Linked DNA regions of Caenorhabditis elegans. The protein of the gene in region 1 purifies or fractionates together with the protein of each later gene. This does not show direct contact. Each region holds a gene or a part of one and is shown on either strand. Other genes may lie near its edges.

The links. The genes of interacting proteins can lie anywhere in the genome.
Region 2: the proteins of ptrn-1 (region 1) and cyk-1 purify together in Caenorhabditis elegans (affinity purification with western blotting, with the first as the bait; one study listed by BioGRID). This does not show direct contact.

The regions. Positions count from the first base shown.
Region 1 is NC_003284.9:17,026,033-17,036,280, reverse strand, and holds the start of ptrn-1 (Patronin (microtubule-binding protein) homolog), read left to right. Parts: upstream 1-6,080; coding exon 6,081-6,134; intron 6,135-6,619; coding exon 6,620-6,721; intron 6,722-6,980; coding exon 6,981-7,082; intron 7,083-7,133; coding exon 7,134-7,247; intron 7,248-7,760; coding exon 7,761-7,846; intron 7,847-8,138; coding exon 8,139-8,359; intron 8,360-8,546; coding exon 8,547-8,607; intron 8,608-8,659; coding exon 8,660-8,808; intron 8,809-8,864; coding exon 8,865-9,145; intron 9,146-9,527; coding exon 9,528-9,649; intron 9,650-9,807; coding exon 9,808-10,034; intron 10,035-10,248. Other genes in the region: F35B3.7 (Leucine-rich repeat-containing protein), read left to right, coding at 504-596, 864-959. UniProt on the Caenorhabditis elegans protein: Required for microtubule stability and anchorage by binding to the minus ends of microtubules.
Region 2 is NC_003281.10:7,024,342-7,034,589, reverse strand, and holds the start of cyk-1 (WAPL domain-containing protein), read left to right. Parts: upstream 1-5,384; 5' UTR 5,385-5,393; coding exon 5,394-5,873; intron 5,874-6,009; coding exon 6,010-6,103; intron 6,104-6,487; coding exon 6,488-6,549; intron 6,550-6,596; coding exon 6,597-6,833; intron 6,834-6,886; coding exon 6,887-7,063; intron 7,064-7,110; coding exon 7,111-7,310; intron 7,311-7,359; coding exon 7,360-7,642; intron 7,643-7,691; coding exon 7,692-8,052; intron 8,053-8,099; coding exon 8,100-8,236; intron 8,237-8,286; coding exon 8,287-8,938; intron 8,939-8,984; coding exon 8,985-9,519; intron 9,520-9,566; coding exon 9,567-10,072; intron 10,073-10,117; coding exon 10,118-10,248.

The sequences.
Region 1 (10,248 bases):
ATGAAATTTAATTTTTGGGGCCATTTTGAGCCTACTGTGAAAATTTCAGTTTTGCATAATTTATAGGTTATTCCAAAAAAAAGTTTACTTTCAATTTCAAATATGAATTGCATGATTGCATCAATTGATGAATGTGCATAGTTTCTATCCTTACCCTTTTTTTGTAGGATTACTAGTTGTAAGGCATATGTCGTCAGTAATCTAGGAAAATTGTTAACATAGAACAATTTGCAATAGAGAATTAATTTTCTCTTAAGTTTAGCGTTTACCCGATAAAATCTGAATATCCGTGTTTGTAGAACAAAAATTGAAACATTAAAAAGTATTAAAACAGTTTTAATATGTACCTTTTGCACAAGAAACATGATTTTAAGCGAGAAGTACCACATTTTGTAATGAAACACAAAAAAGATCCGAAAATAATTTATGGCGGTTTAAAAACAAGTGTAACTCATCCATTAATAAACATAAATCTATGAACTAATCAAATGTTATATTTTCAGTGCATCCAACTTGAAAGAGAGCTTGACAATCTGCATAACGTGTCTCTGAAGTCTGCCGGATGTCCCAATTGTTCAGTTGCTTCCAATATAGAGGTATCTAATAGTTTTGTTTTGTACGAACATTGTTGCAAACTATTTTGAGTCCTACTAGTGTGAGCATTTGAATTGAAAAATGATTCATAGATTGTAATGTTTTATTTCCAATAACAAGAAATCTAAATGGTTTTATTAAACAATTGTACATAAATCAATTTTAGCATAGAAAGTATCAACAAAAAATTTGATCTGTGGATTCATGTTGTGGATGTACCAGCATATACCAAAGTTCGAAAACGTTGCTAAAAAATAAAAAATTTCCAGGAAAAAGACTTACGGAGAGAAGTACAAGATCTGCGGCAAGAGGTGGCAAATTTGAAACAAGTCGTGGACGATGGAAGACATTTCAAGTCATCATAATTATTTTATTTTATATTGCAATTCGAATCGACCGGTCTAACGATTTTCTTCTTTTTTTTGTGAAAGCTTTCATTTTTCTCATTTTTTGATTCCTGATTTTTCGTTTAATAAATTTCAATATTAACTTTCAGAACGTTTTATTAAAAAAAAATACTACAAAAGAAATTTTCGGCACTTATTGTATGAAATAATTTTTGAAAAATGTGCGAAATACAATGTTTTAATTCGTTGTTTTGAGTAATATATAAAGTAGGTGTTTAAATGTTTCCCTGTTCATTTCAAAAAATAGGTCGACATGTTTCGTTGTCAGTCAAATGTCAATAGAGAGATGTGACGAGACGTGCGTTTTTGGAGAGAGTAGGGTAGGAGAGACAAAAACAAAAAAATGGAACAAAAGGCGGATTCATTGTCGGCTAGAATAGCTAATCAAAGAGTGATCTCTTGTAATGGTCAGTTTTTGATAGGAATTATTGATATTGTTTTGTTTTGTTTTTTAATCAAACTAAGATTGTTACTAGAAATGTTTTCTTATTACAACGAGGTCGGAATTTAAAATCATTTTGGCTCTTGATTTTTAAATTCGGAACATTTTTTAGCAACTTTTTCTAATCCTCCAAAAATTTGAAAGTTTCTATTTCAAATACGGCAGACACTTTTTTGCGGTTTTAAAAGCGGTTTTTTATTAAACGTGAAACAAATTAAAACAATTTTTTTCAAGTGACGATGAACTTTTTTCTAGTTAATACTGCTTAACTTTGCTTTCAATAAATTTTCTAAACCCATAGTGATAAGCAACATTTAAACCCTCCCCACTTTGTTGTCTAATCCTCTTTTCTTTTGACATTTTTCCACCCAATTTTTCCCCAATTTTTGTCACATTTAAGAAACGAGATGCATCCAAAATAGTTATAATCGCATCAATCCTCGTGCTGTTGCGATCATTCCGCTAATTAAAGCAGTGAAAAACATCGAAGAAGATGGATATTTGAAAAGACATTTTGGGACACGTTTAAGAAATTAGAATTGATATAGGGATGTAGGAAGAAAATTTAATGAAAAAAGTTCATATGAACTTTTTTTGACAATTTGGAGATATTTTTAGTCTAATTGGATTCGTTGATGTTAATGATTTTAGAGTATGTTCACAATTTCATTTAGTTTTAGAATTCGAACATTTTTAAAAATAATTGCTTCTAATGTAACATTTTAGAGATTGTGACAGCGTTAATAAATAGAAATATGAAAGTTTCGTATTTTATTGGCTTTATATTTATTTAAGTATGAGCCATTTTTTTTCAAAAAAAAAACACATTTAAATGTATTGAACGTTTTTTTTTCTCTTCCCAATTCTCTCCATATATCACAACATGTTTCTTCCCTTATTGTTTCTAACATTATGCCTATTTATCTTCTCAAGACTCTCAGTGTGTTCCCATATTCAGTGCTCCAACTTTTATTTGCCAATCTTAGTGCTCTCACGGAACACGGGGTTCACATAAACGGAGCAGCAGACAGCGAGTGAAACAACAATTAGCATAACCTGTTTTGTTCGGATTTTTCTGCAAAATAGTTAAATGCCTGAATCGATACTCAATTCTCATAGTTGGTGGGAGGACACTGGGATGCGCAGCGCGAGAACTACTTGTTGCTTGATTAATGAGGTCTTTCTCTCCCTCAAATGGAAGAGAGAAATGAGGGGCAGAATGATGTTATCAGAATTGAACAGAGTATGTGTGGTCCAGTTTTCTGTTCATATTTTGATTCATTGAAAAAATGAATTGAATTTCCAAAACTTTACTAAACACGAAAATCATTATCAAATTGTTAATCTAAAACTAGTGAACATAGGTAGACGGGTTTTAAGTGAACTGTTACTTGTGTAGATTTTGATGCAAATTGTAGGTTGTTCGTATTATTCTTAAGATTGTTGCTTTCCTAAGTCTAAAAATGCAAATCAGTTTCACGTTTCGATTAAATTATTACGTTTGAAAGAAATGGATGGTAAACGTATTGGAAAACATTATTAGGCGACTGAAATATTTTTAGGCAGACAGTTAATTAGTGGCTTGGCTTAAAAATATTAAACAAAAGAATTAGGTTTGTTTTAAATAATTTTGAGCAATCTAGAGCACAACGATGCTAGCAAGCTTTCAAACTTTTATAATTGGTAGCCCTAACGTAGTAGAATATGCTTACATTTTTATAATTTGCCTTCAATTTCAATCAAATGTTGTCTCATCTTCATTTTAAAATTATTGTTCATGTTTCAGCTCCAACTCAGCATGCGTGATAGTTGTTTGGTGCACTCAAACTTAGAACTACTAAAATCCTAATACACCATCTAGGCGTAGACCTTCCTATATTTTTCCTCTTGGGTCCAAATTCGATTTCAACATCTGTACGCGAGAGTTGTTGGCAAACACCCTCAAAAACTGCAAATAAACCCTCGAGTTCTCTTTTTTTTCCATATAATTTCTCCCAAGTGTGCAAACATCTGAAAGTGAACCTTTAAATGTGTCAATTATTGTATAAGTAGGTAATATATGTTATTATAGTTTATGAGGTTCATGAGGAAGACAATAACTAGCATTTATTGGCTGCAGTTAATCAGGTATTTTGACACATGCTGATGTACTTCTAATAAATAAAAATTCTAGTTTATTCCAAAAATTTTTGTTGACTGTAGCGTTTCTTGAACTCATCTTTAATATTTTGTTAAGATCATCTTTAAAAATTCCATATTTTTCTGTTAAGAAAAATACAAATTTATTTTATTGAAATTTTTACAGTTCACAAAAATACAAGTTATGAATTTATTTAATTTTCAGAGAGTTTCCTTCACTAATCTTGTTTCTGACAGTTTTAGATTTTATTTTCTTAATTTTTAAACTCGAAACAGTTTTTATTCCCAACTTTCTGTTGGAAGTTGAATATATCGGTGTATGCCAATGAAAAATATTCTGAAAAATTAAAAACTATAATCAAAATTTGAGCTGCTAAACTTGTCGTGCAAAACTGGTTTTTTAATGAGGTCCTCAAAAACATAATTGTAAATTTTTCTCATTGAGCTTCTATCAGGTTGTCCCATAAGTTTTTGTACTTTTTTTCAAATATTTTTCCAAAACTTCTAGAAAGTTTTAAAATTTTTTCATCGTAGGTCGTGTCAAGGTCGGGTCGTCCCCTTTCAGAAAAGATTCATTTCATCCATTTCTACTTTGCCACGATGACAATCATCAAACTTGAACGTCGAGACGTTAGATTGCTTCTTCTTTATGAATTTCGTCTTGGTCATTCAGCAATGGAAGCGGAACGAAACATATGCGGTGCGATGGGTGAGGGAGCACTCTCTTATAATACAGCAAAGAGTTGGTTTCAAAAGTTCAAGAACGGCGACTTCAGTCTCGAAGAAATAGAACGTTCTGGGCGACCGGTAGAGTTAAATGAAGAAGACCTAGTGAAGCTGGTGGAGGAAGAGCCTCGTCTTAGTCTTCGTGAAATGGAAGAGAAGCTTGAGTGTTGTCATAGCACAATTGCACGTCACTTGGGTCGCCTTGGTTTTACTTCAAAACTTGGAATTTGGGTGCCTCATGAACTTTCGGCATCACAGAAGCTCACTCGGGTCAACGTTTGTACTCAACTTCTAACTTTTCGTCGAAAGTTCGATTGGCTGAACAATCTGGTTACTGGAGATGAGAAGTGGGTGCTCTATGTTAACCATTCCAGAAAACGTCAATGGCTTCCGATCGGTGAGAAAGGAATACCGACGCCAAAGCCTGATCTTCACCCAAAAAAGATTATGATCTGTGTCTGGTGGGGTGTTCAAGGACCCGTGCACTGGGAATTGTTGCCAACTAATAAAACTATCACTGCTGATTACTATTGTGCCCAATTGGACCGAGTTGCAGAAAAGACCAACGGAAAATATGAAAAACTATATTTTCTTCACGATAATGCTAGGCCTCATGTCGCCAAGAAGACTTTCCAAAAGCTGCATGATCTTGGTTGGACTGTTTTACCGCATCCACCATATTCTCCAGATCTTGCACCAACCGACTACCATTTGTTCTTGTCTCTCAGTGACTACATGCGCGACAAGCAATTCGACGACGAAGAGCATCTCAAAACTGAACTCTCCACTTTCTTCTCATCGCGTTCGCCGGATTTCTTCTCCCGTGGCATCATGATGTTACCTAGTAAATGGCAACAAGTGGTGGACACTAATGGTGAATACTTGTGTGAATAGTACTACTTGTCGCTTGAGAGAAATAAATTTTTTTCAAAAAAAAAATAGTACAAAAACTTATGGGACAACCTGATACTTCGAAAAACTATGACAAAATATTTCCACCTGCCCACCGATTTAAAAAACCTCGGAGAACACCGCAGCAAGCTCCAATCTAATTATAATTAAGGCAAAATCAATACGAAACCGTGAATAATACCTCTTCATGTGTAGAAAAAACCTTCTGCGTCTCTTGCTCCTCTCCTACATTCTCCCTCTATCTCGACCACCGCCAGTTGAGGGAGGGAGGCGAAACGGTCAGCAGCAGCCAGCAGCAGTCATCTTTTGCTGTGTTGTATGTGTGTGTGTGTGTGTGTGTGTGTGTGTGTGTGTGTGTGCCCCAGTCGTTTCCTTTTCCTTTCTCTTCTCTCGTTTTCTTGTTCTTCGTCGCCTCCACCATCCCGAACCCAGGGCCGACAAGTGAGATGCGGCGAGGGCACCCCCCAACCACGAGCCCTCGGCGGGTTTCTCTCGGCCATTGTTAACCCCGGCCCCCGTCCGTCCTCATCCTATGCAAAGCAGTGAAGTGGTGGTGGTCTCATTCGCAAACCCCCAAACCACCAAACAACACATTATTATGCCCAACACCACACAAAGTTCGAATTTTTCCTGCCCTTTTCGGTATATAAAATAGGTTACACTTTAAAAAAATCTGAAAAAAAGAGTTTCTTCCTCAAAACTTCCCTTTGCGACTCTACTTCTTTTCCCTCTCTCTTGTTTAACCACTTGTGTTTGTTGTGAAATCGAAGTCGCATATCCTCTATCTTGTTCCATTTTTTCGTTTTTTACACTGCTACTTGTAACGTTTCTTTTGTTTCAGAAACCCAGGGGTCCTTGCAATGGACTTCCCTTTGCCGGCTCTGCTTGCAATAGAGGATTATGATGAAAATGAGGTTTGTGGGCATTTTTAAATAGTAAAAAAATTTAAACTTATTAAAAATACTAATCGAGTAAAATAAATCAATAAAAAATAAGACTTACCCCAAAAGGTATCGAGGTCTAGATAATGAAAATGGTAATTCAACCAAAACATTTAGTTAAACTAATTTTTTAAGATTTGAAAAACACTCTTTCTAAACCTAAAGTTGAAAAAAAGATTGCTGGAATTTTTTAAATGTTAAACACTGACATTTTTTTTTGAATACTCTGAATTTTTTCAATTTAAATTGTACTTTTTTTCCTTCACCCCGTTTATCCAACTCAGCGAAACGCAGACCTAAAAATGCAATGCCCAAAACTTTTTGAAGAATTCTGTCAGAGGCAATGCATTTTTAGCAGTGTCCTCTGCCGGGCAATAGAATACGAAATGAAACATCACCCCGCAACAAGTGCACCAAAAAGAAATGCGAATAGGATGATAAAATTGATGGAATTTCAGGGTAAACTAGCTGCATCGATTCGATGGTTAATTTCACGGGTTTACGAAGAAAAACGAGATATGCCGGATAAATTAAGGGACGGAGTGCAGAGGGATGAAAATGTAAGTTTTTATTTGACTCGTGCTTAAATTTAAAAAAAACTAATAAATTCAAATTTGAAAACCACAATTTTCAAATTTTTCATCAGAAATATTATTATTTCTAATTAACTGCTGAAATTCCAAATTGAATAGCTTTTGAAAATAACTTTTTAGAAGCTGCTTAACTATCAGAAATCTTAGTTTTTCTGTAACGAAACAAAAAAAAGTATCCCAATATCTCCAAAACCAAAATTCCACAACAACCTCATCAATTATTCAGGGACACTTTCAAATTGACGAAGCCGTCGTCGGAGCCCTGTGCAATGGTTCGTTGTACGCACAAGCTGCTGCTAAGATATTCAAGGAGTCAGCGCTAGTTACTGTGAGTTTGTTCGAGGATGAGCAGCTTGTTCACTATTAATTTAAAATTCAGAAAGGCCATGGAGCAGTTCTCGCGGTGCTGACCGATTATGGAATCGATGTATTGCACGACGGAAATGAATTGGTGGAGGAGGCGCAGCTGGTTGCTTCGGCTCCTTTTAATATGGTAAGGCTTTTTATGATTAAAAACATAATTTTTTGTTCTGAAGACTTTGAATGCACTTTCTATTTTAGGGAGCTGCCAAAGGGTACGAGAAAATTTTTTTAATTTTCCAAAAATATAGTTTTGTTTAGCGGTGTTTGAAAACCTACGGAATTGATCATTTTGTTTTATTTGACATGAAAATAAGTTAGTTATGCATTGGAAATTTTGAAAGTACCTCAAAAAGTTCCTTAAAAAGTTTAAAACTGCCAAAATCTTACTTGACAAGTCACAAATTTCAGGTAGTTTTGAAGATTTTTTTCATATCTTTCAGCATAAGTACGTGCTGTTCTGAAATAGATTGAACTTTTTTAAACATAATTTTCAAACACTTTTTGTCCAAATTAAAAAAATGGAAGGATATACACAAGTACCGTTTTTCATTACAAATTTTTAAGATTCTTTAAATGGTACACAAAATTACACAGTCTACTTCTGAAAATGGTATTGAAAAATTGCAAAAAAATTTAATTTCAGTCTGCACACCTTGCAATAATTGATGCTCTTATGATGGCACACCTTCGAGATGTTATCCCAGTCAGTCGGGTGGTTGAAGCAGTAAGGTTGGTTAATTTTATCAAACTCAAACTCTTGCGTTGAAGCTGTTAATGACTATAACAAAAACACGTGAGACAGAATTTTCAAAAAAAAAAAAATCATGCTTTCGATTTGATGCTAAATTCACATATTTTCAGTAACTCTGCTATTTAGGTTTCTTAAAATTTTAGCACACCCACCTTTTCAAAAAATTCCCCAGCAGTTAAATTGATGCTATCAAAAACTAACCAGTTTAATGGAATTTATTTTCTTATTTATCGCAACAAAACTTCCTCATTCCACTTTCCCTTATTCCAGCCGTCACACAGCTGTGGAGCCCAGCGAAAAGCCCATCGACAGTGTGGATGCTCTACTTTTCTGGATAAATAAAATATGTCTTCTAGTTAGAGACGATGTAGAACGGGAGGATTCGAACACGAATATTCCGGAAATGGAGGATTTGTACGAGGATATTTCAGATGGGCAGTGTTTGTGTGCTCTATTGCATTGGTACAGACCGCATGAAATGCCTGTAGCTGGTGAGTTTTTCTCTCTCTTAAGATTAGGACCATGACTTTTAGGTTTGAGACACTTTAAGCTTGACAATTTTTGAGTACAACATATTCAGTTAAATTTGGTCGACAATTAAGTGATAACTTCAATATAAGCCCAAGGCGACACTCAAATCTATCCACTACAAACTAATTTTAAAATGAAATATTTCAGATATTTCGTTCAACGATTCAGCGACCACAAGAGACTGCCAATATAACTTAATGTTGTTACAGTAAGTCACCTCATTTTGTGTGTCACTTCACACCCTCTTTCCCCATTTCCAGACTATTCTGCCGACACCACCTCGCAGTTGACCCATTCCACTTCGAGATCGAAGATCTGCTGTACCTGCGTGACTCACTACAAATGAATGTGAACGCCTTCCTTGCTGACCTATTCGTTCAATTCGAACCGCCAGTTACACCAGAACCAGGTAATTACTTCAACCTATCTCACTCTTCCACCATTACTGAAAAATGATGATTCTAGTTGAAACACCACGCATCGGACCTTCTCCTCGACGCTTCGTGCCGGCATCTGCAATTCCTGACCTTAGAGCTGCAAATGCGGCGGCGAGAAGTTCAATGCACAATAGGAATCGACCAAGAATGTATAATCCACCTCCAGCTGTTTCACATTCTCAAGGCCCGTCGAGATCAGTGAGCAGAATGAGCCAGGACAGTTTATTTTATTCTCGTCCAGCATCGATTGCACTACAGAGGAGGAGCATGGATCAAGATTCTGTGACCGATTTTCAAACCATTCGGCAGGTATGAAAACTTTTTATTTGTTAAAGCTCACGTGTAGTTGGTGAGATTATTAATTTTTAAAAACATTCGCTCTTATATTTTAGTCTAAATTTCCAATATTGAGTTACACAAATTTGACGGTTTTTTTTCGAGAATTCTGCACTACACGTTCTCGAACTCAATGAATTCTTTTTTATTTTTGTCAAATAATGAAAGTCCTTCTTTAAACTTGAGCTCGCGTTAATATTATAGAGAGATACTTATATTTTGTAAGTTAAAAATATTTGAATTGAGCAGGAACAAGCGGGTTTTATAAAGTTAAAATAAATGCTAAAAAAAATTAAAACATGTAAACAGAGTTGTTATATAAAAAAAATTTTACATAAAAATAAAATCATTGCAGGGTTTTGAAAACCAAGCTGGAACGGCTCAACTAAATCGATATGATGGCAGTGTGACTGCATCTGTTCGGCTGGCCATGGAGGAAAAACGGAGAAAGCATGATCAACAGATGGCTCAGATGAGGTGAGTTTTTTGTTTGAAAATCGAAAAAAACTTCCCTTTAGAAAAATGACAGTGGAGAAATTTTGATTCACATCAACGGTTTTTGAACTTGAATAATGCGCTGGTCAATATATGCCAATTAAAAAACTGCGTTATTTTCGCTTCCTACTTTTAATTAGTTTTAGCTCTGCGAACGAGACGGAGCGACTCGAAAAAAGCAAGGCCGCATTTTTTGCACTCCGAAAAAACGACAACGACCAAACGAGCAAAGGAAAAGAGGAGTGGTACGACCATTTTGAAGCAAAACTACGAGCGTTGGAGCTGAGAGTGGGATTAGAAGAAGGAGAGGATGGAACTCAATCGGCCAGATTGAACAGAGCCTCTTCCCAGCCTAGTGTGGTACAAGGTATGCCTTTGAGTATTTTCAGTTTAAAAATAATTAATTAAGAGATTACCTCGCGGTGTAGTTTGTACACTGTTCAAAGTCTAAAAAATTGAATTCACGTCCGAAGTACATGCTCAGTCATGCGAGTGAACATAAAAAATAAATGTCTAGAACAGATTTGCATCCGAACAAAAAAATTGCGGAAAACTAAAATAAAAATTCATTGACCGGAAAA
Region 2 (10,248 bases), on another chromosome or scaffold:
TTTTTATTCCTGTGAAAATTTCTTGAAATATCGTAAGTTTTCCTCGAATATTTCGAAATTTCATACAGTTTGTTAGTATTCGTAATGTTATCACCTCCAGAATAGGAAAATATGCAAAACTCCGTTCAAATCACAGTTCCGCGCTGTTATTATTCTCATCCCTTTTTTTTCCTTTTTTGTGGTAAAAGATACAAAAGAATCTGCATAAACAGGAGAAATGAATGGAATAGAAAGTGCTTCAGTGTTTCAAAGGTCATCTATTGTCCATTCACTTGGTCCGCAAGGTACGAACCAATCGGGAAACATTTTTCGTTTACAAAGTAACAGTTCGGCGGTTTTTTTTGAGTTTAGAGTATTGTTAGAAGTTATCATGAATTTAGGGTATTTTTACAGAAAATAATTCTTATTCAATGAGTAATAATTGTTCAGAACACTGAAATTCACTAAGATTGTGTATCTTAACAAAAAACGCCCGAATTGAAACATCAGGATGAATATTTTTGTTCTTATTCCCATCCTTCCACGCCACCTGGGCGTCAAAGTTACCCGCCAGACAGTTTTTCATTTTCTCTAATTCTCTTCCTACTCAGTTTTTTCCAGAAATTCACTAAAATTTTTCATCTCAAATTTTGTTTCTTTTGAATATGGAGGCTCGTGGTTCTCCTATTTATTCGAAACGTGATTCTCGTTTTTTTATTCCTTCGAAAAACTGTTTTCAAAACATTTTTCTCGTTCCCCATAGTGTTTTGAGAGAGATTTTTTGCATATTGAATTTTCTTTTTCAGAAAAATTGTGCCCCGGCAATAAAAACATCTATTGAGAATCTCCGATATAATAGTAACTGTTATTACTTATAAATTAAAGGTGGTTCATGAAGTCGTTTCCAACTCATATAAAACTTTAAATTTCTTCCATGATTCAGTCAGATTCACTTTTTTGATGTACATCAGAAACGATTAAAAAGCAATTTACAAAATTGAACAATATCTAGTAAAAACTCATGTAAATCCTGTCACGAGACCCATCCAGCTGTCTGTCATAATCTTACCGTGAAACAATTTTCAACAATCGCAGACAGGCAAGTTTTGCTGTCGTCGTGAAACGCGCAACTATGCGGAAAGGTGTTATTATAATCACAAAATAGTATCATCATGACGTCCACGCTATGCCTCCCGATTGTTTTCATTGTTGTGAAAAGACGGTGTGCTGAATTGTTATAGTAGTCGTAAAAATTACTGATTTTTTTTTCACACTGATTACTACTATTGTTCTGGGTTTCTCGATGATTCGAGATTCCAATTTCAGTTGTGGTTTTCATTCGTCGGGTTTTTGGAGATTATAACACTTAAAGAATTAGGGAAATCAGATGCAAACTTTTGAAACTTTTGTATTTTTCTCCGTACGTGTCTTTTTTTGAATCTAGAAAGTTAATCATTTTCATATTGTTTTGTGAATTATGCATGGCTGGTAGGACGGTAATACAAACAAAACTTTTTTTCTAGGCGGAAACTATGTTTGTTTTGATTTTTAAAATAGTGTTAAAGAGCTGTCTAGGTATATTTCACTAGTTTTCATTGCAAGTTTTGACATTTTCGTGTCGAGACCCCCCCCCCCCCTATTCCTACTGGAAATTCAAAATCATTAGTCTTTTTTCGTGCCCTAGTGGAACACTATTCCTCTATAAATTCCACCGATCTCCGTGTTGTTGTTCCCGTTGTTACCAAATCAAATCAGTCTAATTTGACCAATGCCTGATTTGTTTCTCAATTTCAATTTCAGTTGTGGTTTTCAGTCGTCTATTTCTATCCTATCAATTATCCATATTTTTTAAAATCAATTCTTTCTTTTTTTCAGACTGAAAATCCAAACTTGGAAAGACATCGCACAGAAATATGAAAAAGATGATAGGACTGGACAAGAAGGAAGGTGTCGGTGGAAGTTCATCCAACATTTCGAACAGCTCTGGGAATGGCACCTCGAAAAAGGATAGAAAAGTTCTGGGCAAAAAGGTATGTAAATTTATTGTTTTAAAAATATCCAAAATAAAACACCCTTATATCCCCTATTATCTGAATTTTAAAGCGAAAAGAAAGTCTTCTTCGAAAACATCACTATTAGAAACCGCTAAACCGTTTCGTCCTCTTGCTGTAGAATAATTGTTAGAATCGGTTGCTAATGGGATTGGTTTTTGTAGAAAACAACAGTTGTTACTTTGTTCTTACACAGCTTACAATTTTTATCAATCGCTAATATTATTACGTGCCACAAATCCATCGATCACATCATTCTTCCGCAATACCAAGTACATCTGGCACCATGCCAAATGATGTCTGTCCCTTACTCACCCTCAAACATGGGGAAGCACTCTCTGCGTCTCCACTGATCGGAATACTCTTTCATTCATCTCACCTTCCATTCACATTGAAGACATTTGAATACCACATTTTGGCGGCGACCGTGAGGCACTGTGTCCGAACAGGAGTGTGCTAGTGGTAACGAGACCCAAAGTCCCGTCTTTTTACTCATTTAGTGGTACTTCGCATCTCAAGGTCCTTTTGTAAATTAATTTTTATTTTTTACTTGTAGTAAAGTTCCTTTCTTATTTTGCGTGTGACTTTCCTTATTCTAGTACTACGAGCATGTGTCCTTGGGGGCTCATTTTCGTAGAGAAATCGCCTATTTCTTCAGTTTTTGTTTTGTCCGAATGGCTCACAGGAATTTTTTGATTGCCCAATAGAAAGAATGTTCATTTTCATTTTTGACCATTTCCGCTGTTCTCTTACTTACTTACTTACTTACTTGAAGTTGTCTGTGAACTACCAAAAAAAAAAGTGAACCTCAAATTCAGCCTCATGATTACCGATTTGATGTAAACATGTTTTTGAACTAGCGACATTCCAATCTTATCAATGTTATCAGCCAGCTGTAGTAAAGTAGTTCAGAATATTTCTCACTTGAAAAGCTTTTTAAATTTCTGTATCTTCATCAATTTGTGATATAAAGTGTACTATTTTAGTTTTAGAATTTTTAGTATTTTTAGAATTAGTTAGATGTTGATAAATATTTTCCGTTCTTATTAGTCATACTCTTCCCCATTTTTTCTTCCTTTCTCCTCAGGCAGTTGGTTGATTGGGTCATCTGGCATCTTACTCATTTCGTTTTTTTTTCAATAAGCTCCAGTAGAGAGAGAGAGCCTTTGACTTTTTCCATTGCTGTTTGATAGATTTTGTTCTTATTAAAATGCCTAACGATGTACCATAAGTTCTTCGGAACCAACGGTTATTTTAAACCTAGGAAATTGTTGAGACGTTATCCTAGATATCCTAGAGAGAGATATCTAGGTGATCCTAGATAATTTTAAAAAAAAATGTATCCAGAAACCTTAAAAAAAACAAATCTGGCCAGTTGACGCCCGTTAACACTAGCGATTTGGAACGAGAGGACAGATGTTTTGTGTTGAAGAGAGAGAAGTTTCCATCGGTCAGTCAATTGGAAGAATTTCGTTTTGTCTGGCGCAATTCGTTTCGTTTTAAAGTTTGGTTGTATACCATTTGGACTTAACTGAAAGGGTGTCACTTCTATCTGTTTAAATTATTCTTATTCTAGGTGTATCCCACAATTGCCTAATTTTAAATTAGCGTTTCTAAACTCATATGTCACATCTCGCAACTTAAACAGTTTTTCTTTTAGGTGTTTACCAAATATCTAGGTGTTCTCTCTCTGTTAAATGTCTATGTGACTATGCTATTTGCTCTTTAGCTTATCAGTTACCAATGATCATAGAAATCTTTCCTCTTGAAGTTAAATGTTACTTTCTGAAAGTTTATCTAACAAAATTTTCAGTTTTCAAACAATTGTCTTATTTTCAGTGTTAAAAAACCCACCCAATTGCCTTGATATCTTTGTCTCGTATCTCTCTCTCTCTCTCTTCTCAACGGCTTTACTATCCGGTTTTCTGTCCGCCTCATTGGCTCAGTGGCAGAGCGTCTGTCTAGTAAACAGAAGGTCGCTGGTTCGATTCCAGCATGAGGCACCGAATTTTTTTGAAGAAATCTTAGTCTTTAACATCGGATTACTGTAGAATTATCACATATTTTTTGAGAACGTATCCAGAAAACATTTTTAGACATTTTAAGGTGTTCTATCATTCGTGAAATTAAGCGATCATTGCACATGTAGTAATTTTCTTTAAAATTTATATTTGCACTTCAGTATTTTGAACGATCGGCAGTGACTTCATGCATGTGTGAATAGAAAATACACATTGTAGAGCATCCGGCCGGCGAACACGCTATCATTCATATTTCTGTCAACAGTGATATGTCTATGATAATCATATGCTCAAAAAGCACCACCAGCCTGTCCACTTGACATGAGTCTCCATTTTGACCGTCTCTCCTTCTCTACTTTCTCCATGAGTCCTCTTATCTCCTTCACATGTGCCCAATGACCCATTTGGCGGGAAAAATCAGACAAAAAAGAGAAGAGAGCAAGGGATTTGCATACTGTAAAACAGTGTCAAATTTCCTTCAAGAATGAACGAGCTTTATGTTAGCCGCCAAAAAACAAGTAGTTGGATTCCTTTTAAATATATTTTATTTATGAGGACGAAAATCCCAATCAACTCAACGATGTGTAATAAATATCTTAAAATGTAGGATTGCAGTTTATGAATTTCCGCGAAAACGTGAGAGTTTAAATTAAATAGGCTGTTCTCAGATACTAGATTTTAAGCAAATTATATGCTGGCTGAAAACATATTATTTCAAAACTTAATGAAGAATGAGCTAATCTCCATTCCCGAGTTCATTTTCTTGTTTTCCGGAGCACTTCTCAAATTCTCTTCCTCTCCCTTTTTCGCTTTCTCCAAATACCGAAGTGACTGTGTTTATTTTATATTTATTTTGTTCTTTTATCACTAGGTTCTCACACATTTCCTCCATTTCTCACTTTTTCATCCAACGACCCGCATGCCCTGTCGATTTGCCTGCCATTCAATTTGAATAGATTTCATTTTTGTATTTTTCTCCCCAAGAATCAGATGACATTCCACTTCTCTTTTTCCCCTTCTTCTCACTTTTCTAGAGTTCGCTGATTGCCTTCAATTTTTAGTTGGTTTTCTGTATATGGAAAATAACAAAGTCTCTATTTTTCGTAAGAAAATTATTTTCCAATCGGTTATTCATTTCTTCACTATTTTTCTCCCTGGTTTTTGATTTCTCTGCACTTGTCAATACAATTTCAATTCAATTCACGGTTTTACCTTCATTTACGATTAGATTTTATTACCTGTATTGAGGTTATTTTGACCGTTTCGGTAATCCGCTCCACTTTATTAATTCAATTCGTTCCGTTCAAAATCTCGTTCAGTTTGAAACATTTCCAGCTTAAAAATGTCTAGCGATGATTATGAGTCAATTGACACGCCACGTGTAGCTTCACTAGCTGATATGAATCGACTTCCTACCCAATCTCGTCATTCAAGTTATTCAACGGATGACGATGAAGACGTGACTCCTACACCATCAGCTTCTAATTCTGCTCCAAAAAATACAATTCTAGACCCTCTACAAGCGCAGTTTCTTCACCCGAATTCTGAAAATTCTGATATAGACGAGCCTCGTGTGCAATTGCGCGAAAAGAAAAAAGCGACTCGTGCACAAGATGCAACTGTTTCTCATTTCTTGGAAGATCAAGTTCCTAATCAGAAATTCAAAAGGAGAAGCGCTGAAAGACATTCAATGTTGGCTGGAGCTGCTGATTTTGCTAGTCGTAGGAGTCCATTTCATTTAAGTGGAGCGAATGGTTCTGGAAGATGGACTGATTTGTTCTCATCGAGCAGATTTAAACGAAAACAACGACAGAAATTAAATGTTCGTATCTGGGAATTCTTCTACCTAAAAATACAGAAATAACATCTTATTATTAGAGAAAAGTAATAATAATAATTAGAGTTTGCAAAATCCTCAAATTAATATTTTCCCCACAAGTATATTTTCTTATTTTCAGAATGTTCCATCATCGTCATATTCAAACAATGACTACGGTACATATGCAGGCACACAAAGTATTGGAGGTTTCTCGATTGCTTCAAATTCTTCAGGTAATATTTTTTTTCTTAATCTTGAAAATAAAAATTATGTCGCTAGTTAAAGGTAGAGTACGGTCAATATTGAAATTAAAACCCGTTCCTATGGTGCTAAGATGTCAAAATGTCATAGAACTTCTCAAAAATATTTTGAAATTTTTTTATTATTTCACAATGTGATTTGTGAAAAAACGGTGAAAACTGATTGTGAGTTTTTGCCACTTTTCTTTCACTTATTTTTGACTGTAGATTTAAAACATGTTATTATGATATTTAATAATTTTAGCGTCATAGGAAGCGTTTTTCAAATTGTTTTCCCATTGACCGTATTTCACTTTTAAACGAGCATTAAACTGAATTATTTCGAAGATCTCCATTTTCAATATAAAATAGTTCCAGGAGAATCATTTGCCTTGTCAGGAACTGAAGACGAAATACGAGAAGAATTCAGGAAAATTATGGTAATATTCTTTATAGAGTTCTTATTATATTTCTACTAATTTTGCAGCTCGACAAAGGTCTGCCCGAAGCTGATAAAATTATTTCTAATACGCCACTTGATCAAATGAAAATGATGATTGAGAATTCGAGAAAACAAGATAATCAGGCGAAGGGAAGGTCTCCGGAATGGGTTGTACGAGTATTGGGAGAAATATTGAAAACGAAAAACATTCCGGAATGCAAGCAGGATATTGTTACTGTACGGGTTCAGCTAGTTGGTCAAGGTGTTTCATTTCTTAATAAGGTTCGTTTTTTAAGATAGATATTGTTACTATTAAAATACATATTTATTTTCAGTTCGCCGTAGAAGTTCATGACGAGTCTGGTCGCACTGGAGCTGATCTTATCTGCTGTCTCTACTCATTAGTCTTGAAACGACTGAGAAGCAGTGAAGTTGGCTCGAAATATGAGCTTGATTTGATTGATTTCTTGCAAGAAATCGTCAGATGTGTCCGAACGCTAATTAATACACATGTAAGTTTGTATGTTTTCAGTCTAATTCTAATTCTACACTATTTCAGGTTGGCCTTGTTCTTGTATTGCGACGGAACTCTCCTGTATACTCACTTCTCATTCAAACATTATGCGTCCTGAACAGGCGAGAGCAAAACGATCATGAAGCAGCTGAGATTCGAGCTATTCGGGTTGATGTGGTTAGAACATGTTATACGTTGATTTTTGTTCAACATGATACGCTGTCAACTCCGATTGAAATGACTGGGTAAAAATTTTGAACAGTTCAAATCTTATTTAATTGAAATGCATTTCAGTCAACAAAAGATGTTCATGGAGTTGTCCTTAATAGCTAAAGCTGAATCCAAACGGCTCAATGAACCAGTTTCTCGATTTCGGCCCCTCATCAGCTGCATCGATTTTCTAGAATCCCGCGATCCAAAACAAGGAATGTACGTACTTCTGATGATAAATATGATGATCAATGGTGTCGATCGTAACATAAGTGATGATCAAATGTGGACAGAAGAGACGATGTGGCAAGCACGAATGAGATTAAGGAGTGAAGCTGCAAAAGATAAACTTCACAAGTACATTGAGGTAAATTTGATTGTTTCAGAAAAATAATCTTATCCCAGATATTTTCCAGAAATTCACTACATCTGAAACTGTAAACTCGCAAATTCGGGATGTTGCTCAGAACATGCTCACTGAGCACAATGCAGATTTGGAAACACTGATGGGGAAGCTTGAAAATGTAAAAGGAGAATATGATACCTTGGATGGATGTTTTGAACTTCTTGCCGCCAACTCTGAAGCCACCGGAACCGAGACAGTGCTCCTTTCAATTTTACAGCTTATGACTCTTACTAATGAGGATATGTCGACGAAAAGATCGTATATGAAACTCATCGAGACAGCCATATCAGATATTCTTCTGCATCGAACTCCAATCGATCCACAAGCGGATTATAAGTTTGTGTTTGAGGTTCCTGTGGCCGAGATCATTGGTTTGTGATCGAGAGTATATTGAAAAATTAAATAATTTTAATTACAGATAAAATGCAAGACGAAGAGATGGCCAAAAAAGTTCGACAAGCCACGTCGGCCAAACAGGAAGCTGTTGCAATGCAAGGAGAATACTGGAAAACATTATGTGATTTCCAGAAAGAAGCTGAAGAACTGAGAAAACATGTATATTTACTTTTTTAGAAGCGGTTTGATTGAAACATGTTATTTTTCAGATAAATGATCCAAAAATACCTCTTCCTCCGCCAACGAAGATGAACTTGTCGGCTCCATCCACATCTGCTGGTGGATCTTCAGCTCTACCGCCAATAACTGGAGGTCCACCACCACCTCCAGGTCTCCCACCAATCACAGGAGGGCCGCCTCCACCTCCTCCTCCTGGTGGTCTTCCTCCAATCACCGGAGGACCCCCGCCGCCGCCTCCACCGGGAGGATTGCCTCCAATATCTGGAGGTCCTCCACCACCTCCGCCGCCTCCTGGAGGATGTCCACCTCCACCTCCTCCACCACCACCGGGAGGGTTCAAGGGCGGACCGCCACCACCACCTCCTCCAGGCATGTTCGCACCGATGGCTCCCGTGATACCTGATTACCTTCCACCCAAGAAGGTTCCAAAGGTTGATGGTCCCATGAGAAAGTTCCCATGGGGAGCACATACTATCAACCCTCGGGATATTCCAAGAGAGTCGTTCTGGGTTGGAACAAACGAAGAACAGCTGACCAGCGATCGAATGTTCGATCGTTTACGAACCAAATTCGCCACGAAACCTGCTGCAAATAGTGGTACTCTTGGTGGTGTCTTGAATAGCAAAAAGAAAGTGAAGACAGCACAAGTCATTCATGACGATAAATTACTTCAAAAATTGGGTAAACTCGAAGAAGTATATCCTTTTTTATGATCTTTTTCTTGCAGGCATTCTTCAAGGATCAATCAAAATGTCGCATTCAGAGCTCAAGCTGGCGATTTTGGAAGTCAACGAAAAGGTTTTAACTGTCGGATTCTTGGAGCAACTTCGATCAGCAATGCCAGTGGAGAAGGAGCTTATTGACAAGCTGAGAGCGGTGAACAAGGCTCAATTTGAGGAAATGCCCGAGGGTGAACAATTTGTCACTCGTCTGCTCCAAATTCAAGGTCTTCCGCTTCGTCTCGACTTGGTTCTATTCAAAATGCGATTCTCTGAAGTGTTGAATGAACTGAAACCAGCCATGTCGTCAGTGATGGAAGCGTGCGAAGAAGTACGAGCATCTGAAGGATTCCGAACATTTTTGAAACTTGTTTTGGCGACTGGAAACTTTATGGGCGGAGCGACAAAAAACTATTCGAGTGCTTACGCGTTCGACATGAGAATGCTGACAAGACTGGTTGATACAAAAGATGTCGATAATCGGCATACTCTTCTACATCATTTAATTGAAGAAATGAAGAGAATCGATCCAAGACGAGCACGGTGAGTAGATTCCTTTACTTGCTTTCTCAAAATTTAAAAAATTTAAGATTTGCTCTCACCGACTTCCATCATTGCATTGAATCGTCCCGAGTGAATGCGGATGAAATTCGAAAAACTGTTCAACTGACAGAGAATAACATTAAAAAACTGGAGAACTGCTTAAAAGTGTACAAAATTCAAGGAGAACGTGATTTATTCGACGAGAAGATGCGGCCGTTCCACGAAAAAGCTGTCAAAGAGTTCTCCACAGTTTCGTCAATGTGTGGAAAGATGAAAAACGATTGGGAGTCGTTGGTCAAGTATTATGCATTTAACGACAAAAAATATCCGATGGAAGAATTTTTCGCCGATATTCGCACCTTCTCTGAGCAATATTCGAATGCTTGGAAAGAGTTGGATGCCGAAGCAGAAGCAAAACGAAAAGAAGCAGAATTTGAGACACAGAAGCGGAAGCAGCTGCAACAATCTCAACAAGAAAGGAAGCCGTTACAAGAGAGACAGGCGATTAATAGAGTGCCAAGAACTCCGGCTGCGATGATTCGAGTTTCGACTGGTGAGTTGATATTTTTGAAATTGTTTTTTAATATAATTTTTTCAGCTGCCGATAAGGCTGGTGTGCTCGATGAGTTGGAGCGTGCTACAGGAAATGCTGATTTCCTTCAAACCTTGATGTCTGCCACAAATTCTCGAACTCCTCGTTCCGGATTGCCAGCTCGAACTCGCGGAGGT